Struthio camelus: one gene and its partner. The protein of the gene in region 2 purifies or fractionates together with the protein of the main gene of each other region. This does not show direct contact. Links are inferred from orthologs where the notes say so. Each region holds a gene or a part of one and is shown on either strand. Other genes may lie near its edges.

Region 1 (7,170 bases), on a different chromosome or scaffold from region 2:
ATTCTAAATCCACTGGACACAACCCTGGGCAAGCTGTTCTAGTTGATGCTTCTCTGAACCGGGGCAGCTGGACTGGACCATCTCCTGAGGTTCCTTCCAACCTCAATGATTCTGTGCTTCTACGAAATTTTTCACTCAGTAAGTCACAGCATTATAAGGTTGTGTGAGTGTTTCAGTTATCAAATATTTTGGCAACCTTCCAGCTGCCCACTGTGCTTTGCACCCTGCCTGAACTGGCTGGTCTCTCTTTACCTGTGCTACCTGTTTGCTGCCCTGAGGTGAGAAGTGTGCAATGTCCCACTTGAAATGTTAACATTCAATTGCACATGGCCCACTTACTTTTCTAATAGTTTACTGCAATGCCTGCAATAGTTTACAGGGTGTTGCCTCACCCTGTGCCTAACTGGAGCTGAGAACAACATCCTGCTTCCTCAATTTTCAGCCTCTCCCTCCTCCTGAAACCTCCTACAGTAGGAGGTTTCTTCCCTAGTTCCAGGCAGTTGCCTCCAAACTCACCCTACAAAACCACATGAACAGCAGATACAGGAAGAACTCTTGAGGTCCTCCTTCCTCTGCTAAGATCAAATCCTACAACTGACACACTGTACCCTAGGATGCAGAAAATATTTCTGTACCAAACTGCCCCAAGCATGTGATCTTCAAAGCACAGACAGGTGACAATACAACAATTCTTTTTAATTTGACAATAGCTTTTATCTTTTCACTGACGACAAATATGCATTGAATGCAATCCAAATATTCAGTTTAATATAGCTCTTTTCATTTATTAAAAAAAAAAACACAGAGATATCACAATGTTGGCTGAGACAAACGCAGAAAGCATAAATACAGTGCCACATGACATGACCACACACAGAGCTTAAAAATCCAACTAGGATTTGTTTGACAAAAATGCTACACAAAAGTGTATGTTATGGACAAATTTAGCTTTGCCTGAAGAAGGAGCCTAATATATGGTGACTCCAGAGTATCTCAGAGACTCTGCCTTTCCCGCTGTTCCAAAGAGTAGCATATTTATCTTCTCTAACACAGACTGTGCAAAACACAGCAAGTAGCAAAGATTTGAGAGACACCATTCATCAGCCATTTTCATCCGAGGACTCTTCAGTCTAACATGTCTTCTCTCTGTCTTCCTTACCTGTTCGGAGTATAGCTGAACAGCTTCCTGTCCTCTGTCCAAATACCCACTAAAAGAGATAATAAACATAAGACAATCAGTACCTTCCAAATTACAGGACTCGCACCCTAACAATGCTGAAAAGTGACCCTCAAAGCATAGGGTTCCAGCCCAGCCCAGCTGTATTCCTGAAAATCTATGGAGAACTACTCCTTCCTCCTATACAATTTCAAAAGACAATTAAAAACACGTGGTTCTCTGAACAGCCTCAGTACAATTCAGAAATGCTAATGGTGCAAATTCATCAGTACTGTTCTATGACTTGGTAAGATTTATGAGTCAGGGTATGGCAGTTTCTTAAAACCAGCATCCAGCACCGTGATTACAGACTAAATCACTGACACAACAACAGTTCTTACCACTGCACTGCTCCAGATTCATGCTTAGGTAACCCGCAAACGCATTAAGTCAAATCCTCTCCATTTGAGGTACCCGTTCTTACTGGTGAAAACTTATTTTCTAAATCAGCGTATGTTAGGCAGAACATCAGCTTCTACTGAACAATTTAAAAAGTATGCAATCCCGTGAATACTTTAATATCATTTATACCTGTCTAAAATGGTACTACATCAAAACCAGAGGCAGTCACTCTTAAAGTAGACATCTGAACAGTCAGGTATGAGGCAGAGAAGACTCTCTGCCTCTGTTCATTTTACAGGCTGATCTTTAGCATATTCACCTTTATGGCTGAAAGTCTCACAGATCTAGTATGTTCCCTGAGAACATTATTTTATTAAAGTTTACCAAAAATGGATTAAATTGTCTTGAATTAAGGCACAACTTTCAAAAATAGCTTTCCCAGAAAAATAAAAATAACATTGCTACAATGTCTCAACACGTGCCTCGGAAAGGTTAGCTGTAAAGCTCAACATGCAATGCTCCGCAGGAGCATACCTGCACTTGGAAGGCAAAACATACTAGAAATGAGAGTTACAAAGAGTCTGTGTTCTGTGAAGATAAGAAGGGGAGAACTTTTGAAAGAACGTCCGTGGGCTCCAGTCCACATCAAGTGCTCAAAGAAGCTTGCATCAGTCCTAATCAAGTGCTTAAAGAAGCTTAAGAATTATTGTCAATTCTTAAAGCAGCTTAGAAGGTGCTTTCAGCTCATTCCTCTTTTAAAGATAGAAGAAACCAGGGGTTTTATCCTAAGTGTTATGATATAAGTTTCATAAAGTTAGCTCCTAGAATCATATGAGACACTCAACCCTTACTTAAAAAATTAGTCTATAGCCCATACAATTGTGGTAAAAAGTCTAAAAACATAAGTCAAGCGCATCATGAATGCTCAAAATCAGATGGTGATTAAAATGAATAGAAATATACTTAGTTTTTACGCAACATCTCTTCAGCCAACCTCCTAATTTTGGGAGGTTGGCATGATTTGAATTTCGCGAAACAAAAGTCAAGATACCTATTTACAGTGGCTCAATTGCACATATATTACCTGGCTTGCCATAAAGTATATGAACTTAGCTATATATTAAAAGCAAAGTAGTTTTATTATAGTAAGTTTATAGTCAAGAAGATGATTATGTATATATGGTAATTGTTATAGCTTAGTATCATATTATGCATATACCTAGTGACGAAGTGTTAATAACTGGATGGACACATCTGTTTGATGCCGCAGACATGATAAGCAGTGCATAAAACATACACTCTCCAACTTATAAGGGACAATTGGCTGAATAATCTTATCAATTGCCAGCAAAATTTGACATCAGAAGAACCTTTGCTGTCTTTTTACCCTGTCCTTATTCCTTCATTCTTCACGTTGGCACTCCAGATAAGCTCTGCTCCACAACGTGGTAACAGCCATCCAGCTTTGTACATGATCACACATCAGTTCCAGCATAGCGCAAGAGCATGCAAAAAGATGTTACTCTCGTTCAAATGCCAGGCACTTCTGGGAAATTCTGTTACGCTGGCATTTTGTTTAATGTCAATAATTAGGGCAAATAGTTCACCTTTTGTGACGTTCTGCCTTTTGAACACTGGATATTACTACTACAGGAGGCTTTTTAAGAACTCTTCATCCTCTTTGTCAAGGACAGAAAGAAGATGGTGCTTACATCTGAAATTCAATATTCAAATCCTGTTTTAAATACTTGTAGTTTATTGATATAATTTTTTTCAAGCTTTACAACATTGTCCAACTTGCTGGGACAATGGGTCTGGGGCACCCTCCTCTTTTCTTAAGGTGGCACTTTCAATAACACTCTTAGCTTTTTCAAAACTCAAAGACTTTAGCATTCCACACGAGATCTAAGATACGGATGTGCTTTTGCCTCCTCCTCAGTTCTTTATGGTGGCACCTTCACTAACACGCTTATCTTTCTCAAGTTTGCGAGATTTTTAGCATCCTTTTGCTAACTGCGATATTTCTATCACTTTATTCTCCGGTTTCTCTTAAACAACTCTTTAAAATGCAACAGCCTCAAAGTAGGGGCTTAGCCCCTTGCTCGCCTTGACTTAAAAAAGAAACACGCCCGCACTCACGGTGATCGTCTCCTCAAGCTTTCGAAAGTGCCAGAACTTGAAACCCCCAGAGGCAACGGGCGGCAACGGCCGTCACAGCCGCGCCGGGGGAGGGGAGGGGCGGGGCTGGGCGCTCCCCCACCACGTCACGGTCGGGCCGGGCCGGGCCCCGCCCACCGCGCCGCCACGCGGCCTCCCGAGCCGCCCGCTAAGGTCGCAGCCTCCGCGGGGCGCCTCGTGACCCTTGCTTCGCATTCCCTTGTGCGCACGCGCCGGGGACCCGCCCCGCGCTCGTGCCTCCTGACGCTCCTTACGTATCAGCGTTACGTCTGATGCCCTTCCGCAAGGAGGAGGGGGGAGGGGGAGAGGGAAGGAGAAGGCAACCCGGCTCCCCCTCGCCGCAACCTACCCCGCTAGCCTCCAGCGCCGTGACGTCTATCTTGGCGGACGGGGGCGAGAGCCAATCAGAGGTCTCTAAGGCGGTCCTTGACTGGCTGCCGCGCTAAAACAGGGGCGGGCCGAGGCCGGCGTGGCTTGGTTGCAGCGACACCGGCTTACATAGGGCGGGGTACGGCGTGTCCTTGGGCTCAGTCGTCGGGACGGTGAGCGGGCGGTCGGGCTGGTGATCACCGCCGTGGGCGCGGCGCGGCGCGGCGCGGCGCGGGGCGGCCGGGCACGCAGGTGCGTGCAGCCGCCGGCGGGGGGCGGCGGGGAGCCGCTGCCAGCCAGCCAGCCAGCCAGCGGTTACCGTGGCTCGGCGGGACCGTTAGGCCCTGGGGGGGGGGGAAGGGGAGGGTTGGGCCGGGCCGGGCCGGGGCCGGGGCGCCCGCTGCCCACCTCCGTCGACCCAGGCGGAGGAGCCCGGCGTCGCGGCCTAAGCAGGCGGCCGGGCTGCGGCAAGAAGGTCACCGTGGGGCCTAGTGGCGAGGGCGTCCGTGTCCCGGGATGCCCTGGGGGGGCACCCGGGCCCGCTCGGGAGAGGTGGTCGCGCCGCCGGCCCCTTGCGCCCTTGCAGGGTGGCGGCGCCGGCCGCGGCCCTGGGGCCGTGTCAGGAGGAGAGGAGCAGCGCTCGCCGCGAGGCTGTGCCCGCGCGGCGGGCGGGCTGCCCGCCTCAAGGGCAGCCTCGGAATTGCGGTTGCCTTTGAGGGCTTGTATGCAAATAGCGTTGCTCCTGGCGGGTGCTGAGGAGGCATGCCGGCTCGTGGCGGGAGGCAGGCGGGCAAGTTGCTTGCCTGCCTCCCTTGGCTCCTTACTAGGTGGTGTGCTGGGTTCCTTTTCGAGCAGAAATGGAAAAATACACAGATCGTTAGTTTGTCCTTCTTACGAGTGTATCAGTGAGGATGATTTTTTTTATACAAGATTGTTCATGACTAGGGAACTGTCTTAATGGAGATATTGAAGCTATGTGACAGGAAGGGAAATAAATATTGCTGAAATAATTTCTGAAGGGTAGAGTGATATTAAATGCTGTAAAGCAATTACTTTGGGTGGGGGAAGGCTTTTCCTGCTGTTCAAGCATGATGTTTATCACCTTAAATATGTTCTGCTTAGTTCAGTGATTCTATGCTAATCTTCAAACCCAGGAAGTTTCTACCCAGAAACTCCAGACCCAGAAACCCTATCTGTGGGAAGAAACTCTGGAGATTAATGGGCTAGTGTATATGGTTTTGTAAACCAACAGGACCCTTTTAAGGCTTCTGTTAAATAGTTGACCTTGATGTTGTGACATTAACCTCTGTATATGTTCTCACCCTAGTACTGAAAATGGGAGATATTGAGAAGGGGAAGAAGATCTTTGTCCAGAAATGTTCCCAGTGCCATACAGTTGAAAAGGGAGGCAAGCACAAGACTGGACCCAACCTGAATGGCCTGTTTGGACGTAAGACTGGACAAGCTGAGGGCTTCTCTTACACAGATGCTAATAAGAATAAAGGTAAACTCAAAAGAGCACTTTTAAGTTACTTGGCACAAAAACAGCAAGCTTTCAGTGATAGGTCCGGAAGTCTGCCAAAAAGTAAAATACCATGGAGGACAAGAAAATAAATGTTGGGGGGGGAGGGATTTGTTTGCTTATTTTTTAAGGTCACTGTCTCTTTTTTTTCCTCCTTTTCGCTAGGAATCACCTGGGGTGAGGATACTCTGATGGAGTATTTGGAAAATCCAAAGAAGTACATCCCAGGAACAAAGATGATTTTTGCGGGTATTAAGAAGAAGTCTGAGAGAGCAGATTTAATAGCATATCTCAAAGATGCTACTTCTAAGTAAACTTTTATCTGCTGCCTTATTTATTTCACAAAGGAGATGGCAATGGAAATGTCTGTGATGGTTTTTAAACTTTCTATTTTTACATGTACTGTATCTAACCTTAAAATTTGCCTCACTCGCCAAATAATGTTGCTTGTGGTGGGTGGTTGGAATACATGCTTGTTTGGCAGCCATAACTTAAGGAAACCTTATGTAACTGGGTAGACATCAGTGAATACAATGTTCAGTCATTCTTGATCATGGAATTAAATGGAGGAAAAAAAATAAACATTTCCTGCCTCTTCATTGTAAAAAATATCAAGCGAGTCATTGCAAACAGCATAATAGCTTTGGCAGCCCACCTCTTCGTGGTTTAAAAAAAGTAGGGTGGGTTTTTGCATCCTTCCAAATGCATCATTTGTAACATTACCTGCAAGATAACAAAACGGTATTTTTCTAATCCTGACCAGTGCAATGTGTGGTTGTATACGTTCATCTGGCTAAAGCTTGGGATAAGAATGCAAGTTCATCTGACTTCATAAGTACTACCTGTGATATGGCAGTTGTACCAACCCACTTCTAGGGGAAGCATGTTGCCTGTTTATCCAGACTTTGAGAGCTGCATGCACCAGTAGAGCATAGACTATATCAGAAAAATTTTCAATTTTTGAAGTGTTGTTGAAACCCTTTGTTCAATAACTCTTCAGAACATACCTGTTCATAGCTTAATAAATGGAACAGAGAACTGTACTGTCCTGGAAAGATAAGTGCTGAACACTAAGCTGAATGTTACTAAATCTCACTTCAACAGGAGTGTTAACCTAAAATCTATTGTTACAAGCAAATTCTGCTGAAGGGGTGTAGGCAAGAATGCACTGGTAGACTAAAAGGAGGCTGTCTTCCTCTGTGTCTGTGCTTGCCTTGTGTCATTACTTTAGAAGGTTCTATTTCATGCAGTGTAAAATAGTGTGTTTTTAAAGTTCTAACTGCATCTTTTCATACTAAGTGAATTGTTAAGCTGAATGTATTTACTGTGTACCAGTGGCAAGGCCCAATTCAAAGAGTGATCAACATTGTAAATTAAAGAACTCAAAATCTTGTTTGCTGTATGTGTCTGAAATTTAGTGAGACAAAATGGGAGTGTAGAAAAAAGCTATATGTTTGGTTTCGGGTTTTACACCTGAAAAACACTTCTTACAAGAAAAGTAAAAGCTCAGCATGAAAAAAGTAAATGCTGATGGAGTTGATGT
Region 2 (7,950 bases):
ATGCTGTACTCCCATTGTTATCTGTAATATACAGGGGATACTTCTGCAGCCAAACTAAGTTTTCTGCTTGCTAATGGGATGCACAGAAAGGAAAATAAAGTAGCAAGGGAAAAAAATATTAACTGCTCCTTCAGTATGTCTTTCATATTATTCAGGCTGATCTACTATTAAAAATCCTTGTAAATTTTCTTCCAATCAATGTACATTTGAATTACATGCAAAACAGTACTGGCAGAATGAAGTTTGTGCATAAATTATTTAAAATAGTTTAGTGTCTGCAAAAATATACTGAGATATAATCACTGTACTAACATCCACAAACAATTGTGTGGATTGACACAGTCACATTGATAAAATTAAGACAAATCTGATTCCTAAGGCACCTAAATTTTCTTTTTAATTGAACACTTGCTAAAAAAGGAGTATTTACAGTCTTAAGGACAACAATAATGAAGAATAAAAACATACTAATAACTAAGGACATGTGTTCGGTGAAACACTAGTTCTGATAAAGTCAGTAAGAGTTTTGCCACTATTGTCACCAGGACTACCATTTCCTCATTAATGCTTTTCAGTAAGGCTGATATTCTAACACAAACACATGATCAATCAAGTGTTTAAATAACTGATTCTAAGCAGCGCAGCCTCTAAATTTTATTAGTTGTCCTGCTGCAAGTATAATATATAGTGCTTCACAGCATTCTTTATCATAGTCTAAGCACTTTACAGAAGTAGATAATTACATTTATCTCTATTTTAAACATGTAGCGAACTGACAGAGAAAGTCAAAGTGACTTGACCAAGCTTCAGTGGCAAATCAGTAAAAAAAAAAACTGTAACATATCAGAAGTCAGACCTGATTGCCTGAGCTTTCTTCACAAATGTTTCAATGAAATACTTATACAAGGCCTACCTGCAGACAACTAGAACCCATTATAAATGTTTATCTAAAAAAAAAAAAAATCAGTTACATTTGACTAAATGACAGTGAAATAACATATTGGCAAACGTTCACAGATTATCCAATTAAAATGTTAATGATTACCTTTTCAGAAATTAAGTTAACTTTATTTTCCATGTCCAGGAATTTTTCAGCTTCTTGCTGCAAGAAACTATACTTTTTTTCCATATCAGCAAATTGACTTGTCTGCTGAAATAGGAACCTGCAAATTGTAAATAAATAAACAGTAAATAAATTATATAATTGGCATATATTAAGTGTTATAGGACCTGATTTCACAGGGATCTGTTAATGCAGGGATTTGCATTAATGAAATTTGCTAAATCAATATATGAGGGGAAAAAACAGGGTTTAAGGAAGTTTACTGGAGTTAACAGCTTCCAATCGAAACAGAAAAACAAGAAAACATTAGGAGGTGTGCCTCATTTTACATAGCATGCCTATCAAACAGTAAAAATGACAAAAATACTACTTACGCTCTTAGGCCATTAAATGCTTACAATGCATTGCCTCATAAGCAAGGTATGTTTTATTGAAAAGTATCATTTATCTGTTGGAATTAAAACACAACTAAATCAATTTGGACTCTTGCAAGGCATCACAAAATCATGTAAAGGAACTTTAGATTTAGAAAAGCTGGCTAGCTCTAATTTTGTTTAATTGTAACCATCCAAGAACCTATGGTGTGTTGTAGGAAAACGTGAATAGCTGTTGTTGTGATGATACTAGCTTTGTGAACAGATACCGATAGTGGAAATCTCAATCCTGCACTTCATATATATGATATATTTGTTAACTGTGACCGTGGTAGCTGAACTGTCAGCATTTTGTCCAGTTACAAAGGAAATGAGACAATAGAGCAAAAAACTGAATTTGATGGATGTTTATCAATCCCAAAACAAGGTATACTGCAGACCTAGGCAGACTATCCAAGGATCCTCTCAGATGAGAACAAATGCATCTAGAACAATACACTATTTAAAAATTTTACTTTACTTTTGGTTTTGTAATTTGATAGTTGTTTTTGTTTATTTTAATTGAAATGCAAGTAAAAGTTTCAAAAGATCTATAATACAGTCTGTACAGATTAAGCTATGCAGTAAAAGCTAAAACACTACCTATATATAGATAGATGCAAAACAAACGTAAATGGATTTGTAAAATAGATTAAGCAGAGGCATTACTAATCATTTTTTTCTACTATGACATTCTATTCCTCAAAAATTTACATAAAGAAATCTAGGTGATATTAAAATAAGTACGAATTTTGCCAAAACGTGGAGAGTGAAGTCAAGAGCGTAATAATCCGGTCTCATTTCTTGCACTAGAATTTAGAGAATTTCATCATAGCATTTCTGCATGAAGCTCATAGCTTCTGATGGAACTAAAATACCGATGACACTAAGATATTCTAGAACACCTTTTACAAGGATATTTGATCTTTACTTGGAAGACTCTACTCGATGAGCAATTTGCCACATTGCTAAGCAAAGTACTTACATAAAACCATACTTCATTTCTGCTGACGATTTATTTGTTCCCTGCCCACCGAGCCTTGCACTTTTTGTCAGATTAAGGTGCTCTTCACAGTTAGATGTAGTCTCCCAAGCAGGTATTTACAATTCATGAGCAAGGCGTCTTTTAAGCTTTTAGCAAGACAAAAGAGATCAAGCTTCTATAACCCCTCACTGTATGACAGGGTTTCCACACTTCTTGTGATTATCACTATTCTTTTCTTTACCCTTTCTAGCTTTAATATGTTCCTATGAAGTATATGCTCTTCACTCAAATGCTGTGTTCAAATATTACTAATCACATTGTCCATGACCGAACATAGCATAGAATACGAAAGAACGTGATGAAATCCACTACAGAGGATTACCTACCAGGTCAGTGCCAGGCAAACGGCAAGGGATATTAGGCTCAAGGCTGTCCGTGAGTCTATCCAAGAGGAAATCTGATTACTGCTAGTCCTGGGATTTACCAGCTTCCCACGATTACTGTCTTTCTTGGCCTTCTGTGAATCTTCATTGGTCTTGGAAGAAGAAATACCTCTTTTCCTCTGCTTAACCTCAGACATTTTGTGTCCTTAAGAAGCAGAAGCAAAAAAAGAGAGCTAGCAAAAAAAAAAAAAACCCAAACAAAATAGACCTCCACAACTAATTACTTGCAAGTGACAAGTGTTCCCAGATATAAACTTCCTCCATATAGTTACACGACCCTCCCAAATGTGTCCTTTGATGCTTACTATATAAAAATTCACACAGCTAGAAAACAAAGTGCTGGAATACCTTCATAACACTTTTTGTGAAAACTTTCATTTGTATACAATAGGGCTACAGCTTTCACATTTTCTGAACAGAGTGAACTGTCTGATTCTTCACTTAAGCTAATTTCACCTTTCCAGAAATATTTCAGCTACCTGTAGTGAAACAAGCCATTTTCAGAACATGTTTAAAATCGCAATGATTAAAAGAAAGACGAGCAATATGCCTTTTTTTATAGTTGTTGCTGATAACACTGTGATGATAATCAATTTCACTATCCTGCTTTACTCGTAGATTTTTGTAAATTATTGCCTACTGCACATTAAAGAGGAAAAGTGCATCTTATCCTTTTTAAATATGGGACTACAAATCAAGATTTAATTTACAAATAATTCTGTTTTAATGATTTCATATAAAAGCAATAATATAAAAATACAAAAATGAATGAAATAACGTATCTATATAAAAGACAAGTTATCACTTCCTCTCTGCTAGAAGTAAGGTCCCAATAGATTCAGGCAAGGAGTTAATAATCTCCACTTTCCAAGACTATCAAAGTGCATATTCAAAACAACCAGGTGAAAGTATAATGTGGAATTTCTAAGCCTAAAATCTTCCAGCACATGACACAAAATAAACTAGATACTTTGTGGATTTTTGGTTTAGAGCCATCTGAGACAAAAATATCACGCTTCTTTCTGGAACACTTTGCAGTATCGTAGCTTAGTTACATGTCAAAACATAAAGAGTGAACTATCAGAGATACTTACGCAGTTGCAAGCATGGGAAAAAGGCACTGTTTAAAATCCAAATCTGTCACAAGGGTATGAAGCTTGGAGCTGTTTGTGAGCAACAGTACTACGAAGTCTTCTTTGTCTGAAAGATTAAAAAAAAAAACACAAAACAACCTCTTGCTCACCAAAACAAAAAATGGCAAAAGAGATATTTTATAACTTTTAAAACACTTTTGGGCTCGAGAGCACGTAATTAGGAGATTAAAATCAAAAAGTGATCTGAAGGGCGCCAGGAGTTTAACACAAAAACAACTCAGCTTTCAAAAAGGCAAACTGCACAGTGCACCCCGGTGCGACACGAGAAAGAGCAGCTCGACACAGGAACACTCCTGTATCCCCCCCCCCCAAAGCCCTTCTCGCCCCCCAGTCCTGCTCAGTCCGCCGGGGCACGCTGAAAGCCGGCCCTCTCCACGCAGACGGTGGGCACCCACGGCCGCCTCGTCGTCTTCTTCCCCCCCCCCCCCGCCTCGCCACATCGCTCCGAGGAAACTTCCCCCACGCCGAGGGGCGCCGCCCGCCCGCCCCCCAACCCCCGCTGCCGGCGGCCGGGATGCCGCTCCAGCCTCCCCCGCCGACCCCCTTCTTCCTCCCACGGCCCCTATCGCTCCGGCAGCCCCGACGCCCCTCAGCCTGGGGCAGCGCCACACGGGGCGGGACGGCGCGGCAGCCCCACAGCTTCGTTCACGCGCCCGCACGCCCTTCCCCCGGCCCCCTACCTCTCGCGCGGGCCGCCGCTACCTCGGCCCGTTACAGCCGTTGGCAGCCGCCACCCCCCGGCCCGCCACGTCAGGCGCGCGCCCCTCCCCCGCCCTGCCGAGCGAGGGGCCCAGCCCTCCACAGCGGCGGTGGGAGGGGCGCTTCCCCCCGCCCCAGGCCCGGAAGGAGGAAGTGCTGGTGGGGGACGCCGCCTCCCGGCGCGAGGCGGGAGCCTGTTGCCGGTGGCTGCCGACGGCCGATCGGTAACCGACGTAACGGTCGGGGCAGTTCGCCCGCCTCGCCCGTTCGGGCCGCGGGGAAAGCTGCCTGGGCGCACCGGGACCGGGACTGGAACCGGGGCCGGGACTGGACTGGGCCGGGCCAGTCCGCGGCGGAGGAGGAGGAGGGCGGGCGGCCCGCCGCGGACGGCCCGTGGCCTGCGGGCCTTGGCGGCGGGCCTGTTGGTGACGGGAGCCTGGTGCGGGCGTTTCGGTTTCTGTTCCGTTCTGGGGAGGCGCCGGTGCCGGTGACTGCAGCGGGGAATCCTGGACGCCTTGCCTGGCTGCGAGGTAACGCCGAGGGTGTTTGCGGGGCCGGGGGGCGGCGGGGGGGAGGCGGTGTCTTTTAGCATTTGTTGTGTGTGTTGATCGAGGTACTTTAGCCCGCAGACCTTCCGACTGGGAGTAGCGGCGGCATTTCCGTGTGTCCTTCCCATGCGGTGCCTAGAAGGAGCTTGAAAGATGTTCTTATCCGCATAATTTTCGGTGAAAACAGGAAATTTCCTCTGTATGGCTAAAGAGGCGCTCCTTCACAGGCTTATCAAAAGGTTCTGCATCTACCTGCTTCCTAAATGAGAGGGAGAGAGGGAGGAAAGAAGAAAGTGAACACTTGGGCAGTTTCATAGTTGCTCTGTGGGGGCAACTTTCAATTGCATATGTAGTTTCTGGTGGTCACTCAGGAGTGCGAATGAAGAGACCATTTTGGGACTTTCATTGGCAATTGGCCAGCGCTGAAAAACCTCCGTGTGATAGAAAATAGCTTTCACCTTTTCTTGTCTTCACCACGTTATTTTATGAAATATAGGAAGAACACGGATTGATTCTCTGTTGCTGTGTGTCAGATGCTGCAGAAGGAAGGCCACTCATTGGCAGCGTTGGTGTTGGATTTGCTCATTTTCTGCAATGTGTCAGGCTCCTCCATCTGACTTTACCTGTATGGAGTGCCAGGGCTGGAGAAAACGGAGTTTTGTCTTGTGAAATTTGTTACACAGGGAGCTTATTTTCTGTTGCAGTGCTGTCAGCCACAAGCCTAGTCATCTTTCTCATCCTGTTCTCCCAATTACATCATCCAAGGACTTGAAAAATTTGAAGGATGCAGAGGGAGACAATGAGTATCTTTTTTAGTAGTATCTGGCAAGATCCTAATGTACAAGAAGCTTGTACAAACTGTGATTCTTTAGTTTTGCAAGTTTTCATAAAAATAACTTGGTACAAACCTGGAAAAGGACTCATGTTAATGCTTTCTTTTGCAAAAATTAGCAGTACTTCACTATTTCTTTTTTTAAACGAAAACTTTCATTCACTTAATGAGCACATGGTTTCACTGTGAGTCTAATTGTTAAAGAATGAAATGTTTTTATTCCTGCTTTGTATGCTCCTAAGAGGAACAGTCGGAGAGCTATTGTAGTTAGATTAAATATAATAATGCTCAACTGAACTTTTTTATTCAAACATAATATGTTTGAGTATATGGCATCTAAATAATACTTGAAGAACACTATTCATATTCACAGTAGCTTGTGAACTATTAACATGCCTTCATACTGTCCAGTCAAGCTGGATTAGTGAATCATAAGCCGTATGATAGAATTCATAGAAACATTTTCATGCTATTGTTGTATCAAGACAAAAGTGAAAAACGACTAAATATTTCGGCTTTCTGCAGTTTGTAGTATGAGCTTGCCTGAAGACTCACTGTACTTTCCACTAATATAGCTGCTCTGCTACTTTTTTGCCTTTTAAAAATCAGATTCGAAGTTATTTAAAAACTATTTTCTCTGTACTTTTAAATTGTGTTCTGGTTCCAGCTTGACTCTTTTTTTCCTTTCCACCCTGAAGAAACATGGATGTGAAGAGCAGAAATTACTTACTTCTGAATCGCCAAGCATTGGAAAAAGACATCAAGACCTCATACATTATGGATCATATGATTGCTGACCAAGTACTGACGTTACAGGAGGAGGAGAAAGTAAAACAACAGGTAGAATCATCTTTCACTGGTTTTTTTTGGTCCTAGAGGGCCCACGTGTGTTAACATCCTTTTTCTACATATTTATTTCAGTCTATATTACTCCTAGATTCAGCAGATTCTTCAAGCATATGCTTAGCATGCAATTATTATTAAGTTAAGTGCTTGGATGAAGTTGAGGCCTTTTTCTAGAATAATAAACACAGGGTGACAGAATAATGATTTATAAGCTCTTTTAGTTTTATATAACATCTTTTCTATTGTTTGTTCTAGAATACGCAGAAGGAGCGAGCAGCTATGCTAATAAACATTCTTCTTACAAAAGATAATAATTCATATAGATCTTTCTATAATGCACTGCTTCATGAAGGGTACAGAGATCTTGCTGCACTTCTTCAGGATGGCATCCCTGTCATCTCCTCTGGTAATGGAAAGAGTTCTATGGATGGAATGACTTCATATGGTCAGTATATCTATGGCAATCCTTGTGCTTAAAGTAAAGACAAGTTGTTGGTTTTTTTTTCCCCCCTTACTAAATGACTGACTAACCCCTGTTTTGATGAAAAAGGGGTAGTTGATGTATTCGTTTGCTTTGGTATTGTACTAGTCAATATTGTTGTATTTCATAGAATTAATATGGTGTGAGAGGATGATTATGTCTTACACAGGTCATTTTGAAAACGCTCCTCCTTAGTAACACTTACCTTAAAAAAACAGAAATCTGAACCCCTCACAATTTTATCTAAATCTCAACATTTTTGTTGTATGTGAAAGACTTTATGTGTGTATATATTCAAGAAGCTGACTCTAACATAAAAAGCTACAGTCTCTGAAATTCTGATATTCCCTTGTAGGTTAATCTGTAATCTCTCACCCCCCACATACCAACAGTAAATCTAGGTAATAGGTTGCTTAATACTCTCCAACAGATCTTTTAGTTACCCTGAATAAGTTCCTAAATTTTACATAAGTTTTCATCACTGTC

Evidence for each region. The genes of interacting proteins can lie anywhere in the genome.
Region 1: the proteins of APAF1 (region 2) and CYCS purify together in Homo sapiens (affinity purification with western blotting; 3 studies listed by BioGRID and IntAct, with this or other methods). This does not show direct contact. The link is inferred for Struthio camelus from reciprocal best matches to the Homo sapiens genes APAF1 and CYCS.

The regions. Positions count from the first base shown.
Region 1 is NC_090943.1:38,123,319-38,130,488, reverse strand, and holds CYCS (cytochrome c), read left to right. Parts: upstream 1-4,113; 5' UTR 4,114-4,244; exon of another isoform or gene 4,245-4,357; intron 4,358-5,432; 5' UTR 5,433-5,440; coding exon 5,441-5,609; intron 5,610-5,792; coding exon 5,793-5,941; 3' UTR 5,942-7,020; downstream 7,021-7,170. UniProt on the Homo sapiens protein: Electron carrier protein. The oxidized form of the cytochrome c heme group can accept an electron from the heme group of the cytochrome c1 subunit of cytochrome reductase.
Region 2 is NC_090942.1:53,371,078-53,379,027, forward strand, and holds the start of APAF1 (apoptotic protease-activating factor 1), read left to right. Parts: upstream 1-4,900; 5' UTR 4,901-5,287; intron 5,288-6,835; 5' UTR 6,836-6,839; coding exon 6,840-6,977; intron 6,978-7,238; coding exon 7,239-7,428; intron 7,429-7,950. UniProt on the Homo sapiens protein: Oligomeric Apaf-1 mediates the cytochrome c-dependent autocatalytic activation of pro-caspase-9 (Apaf-3), leading to the activation of caspase-3 and apoptosis. This activation requires ATP. Isoform 6 is less effective in inducing apoptosis.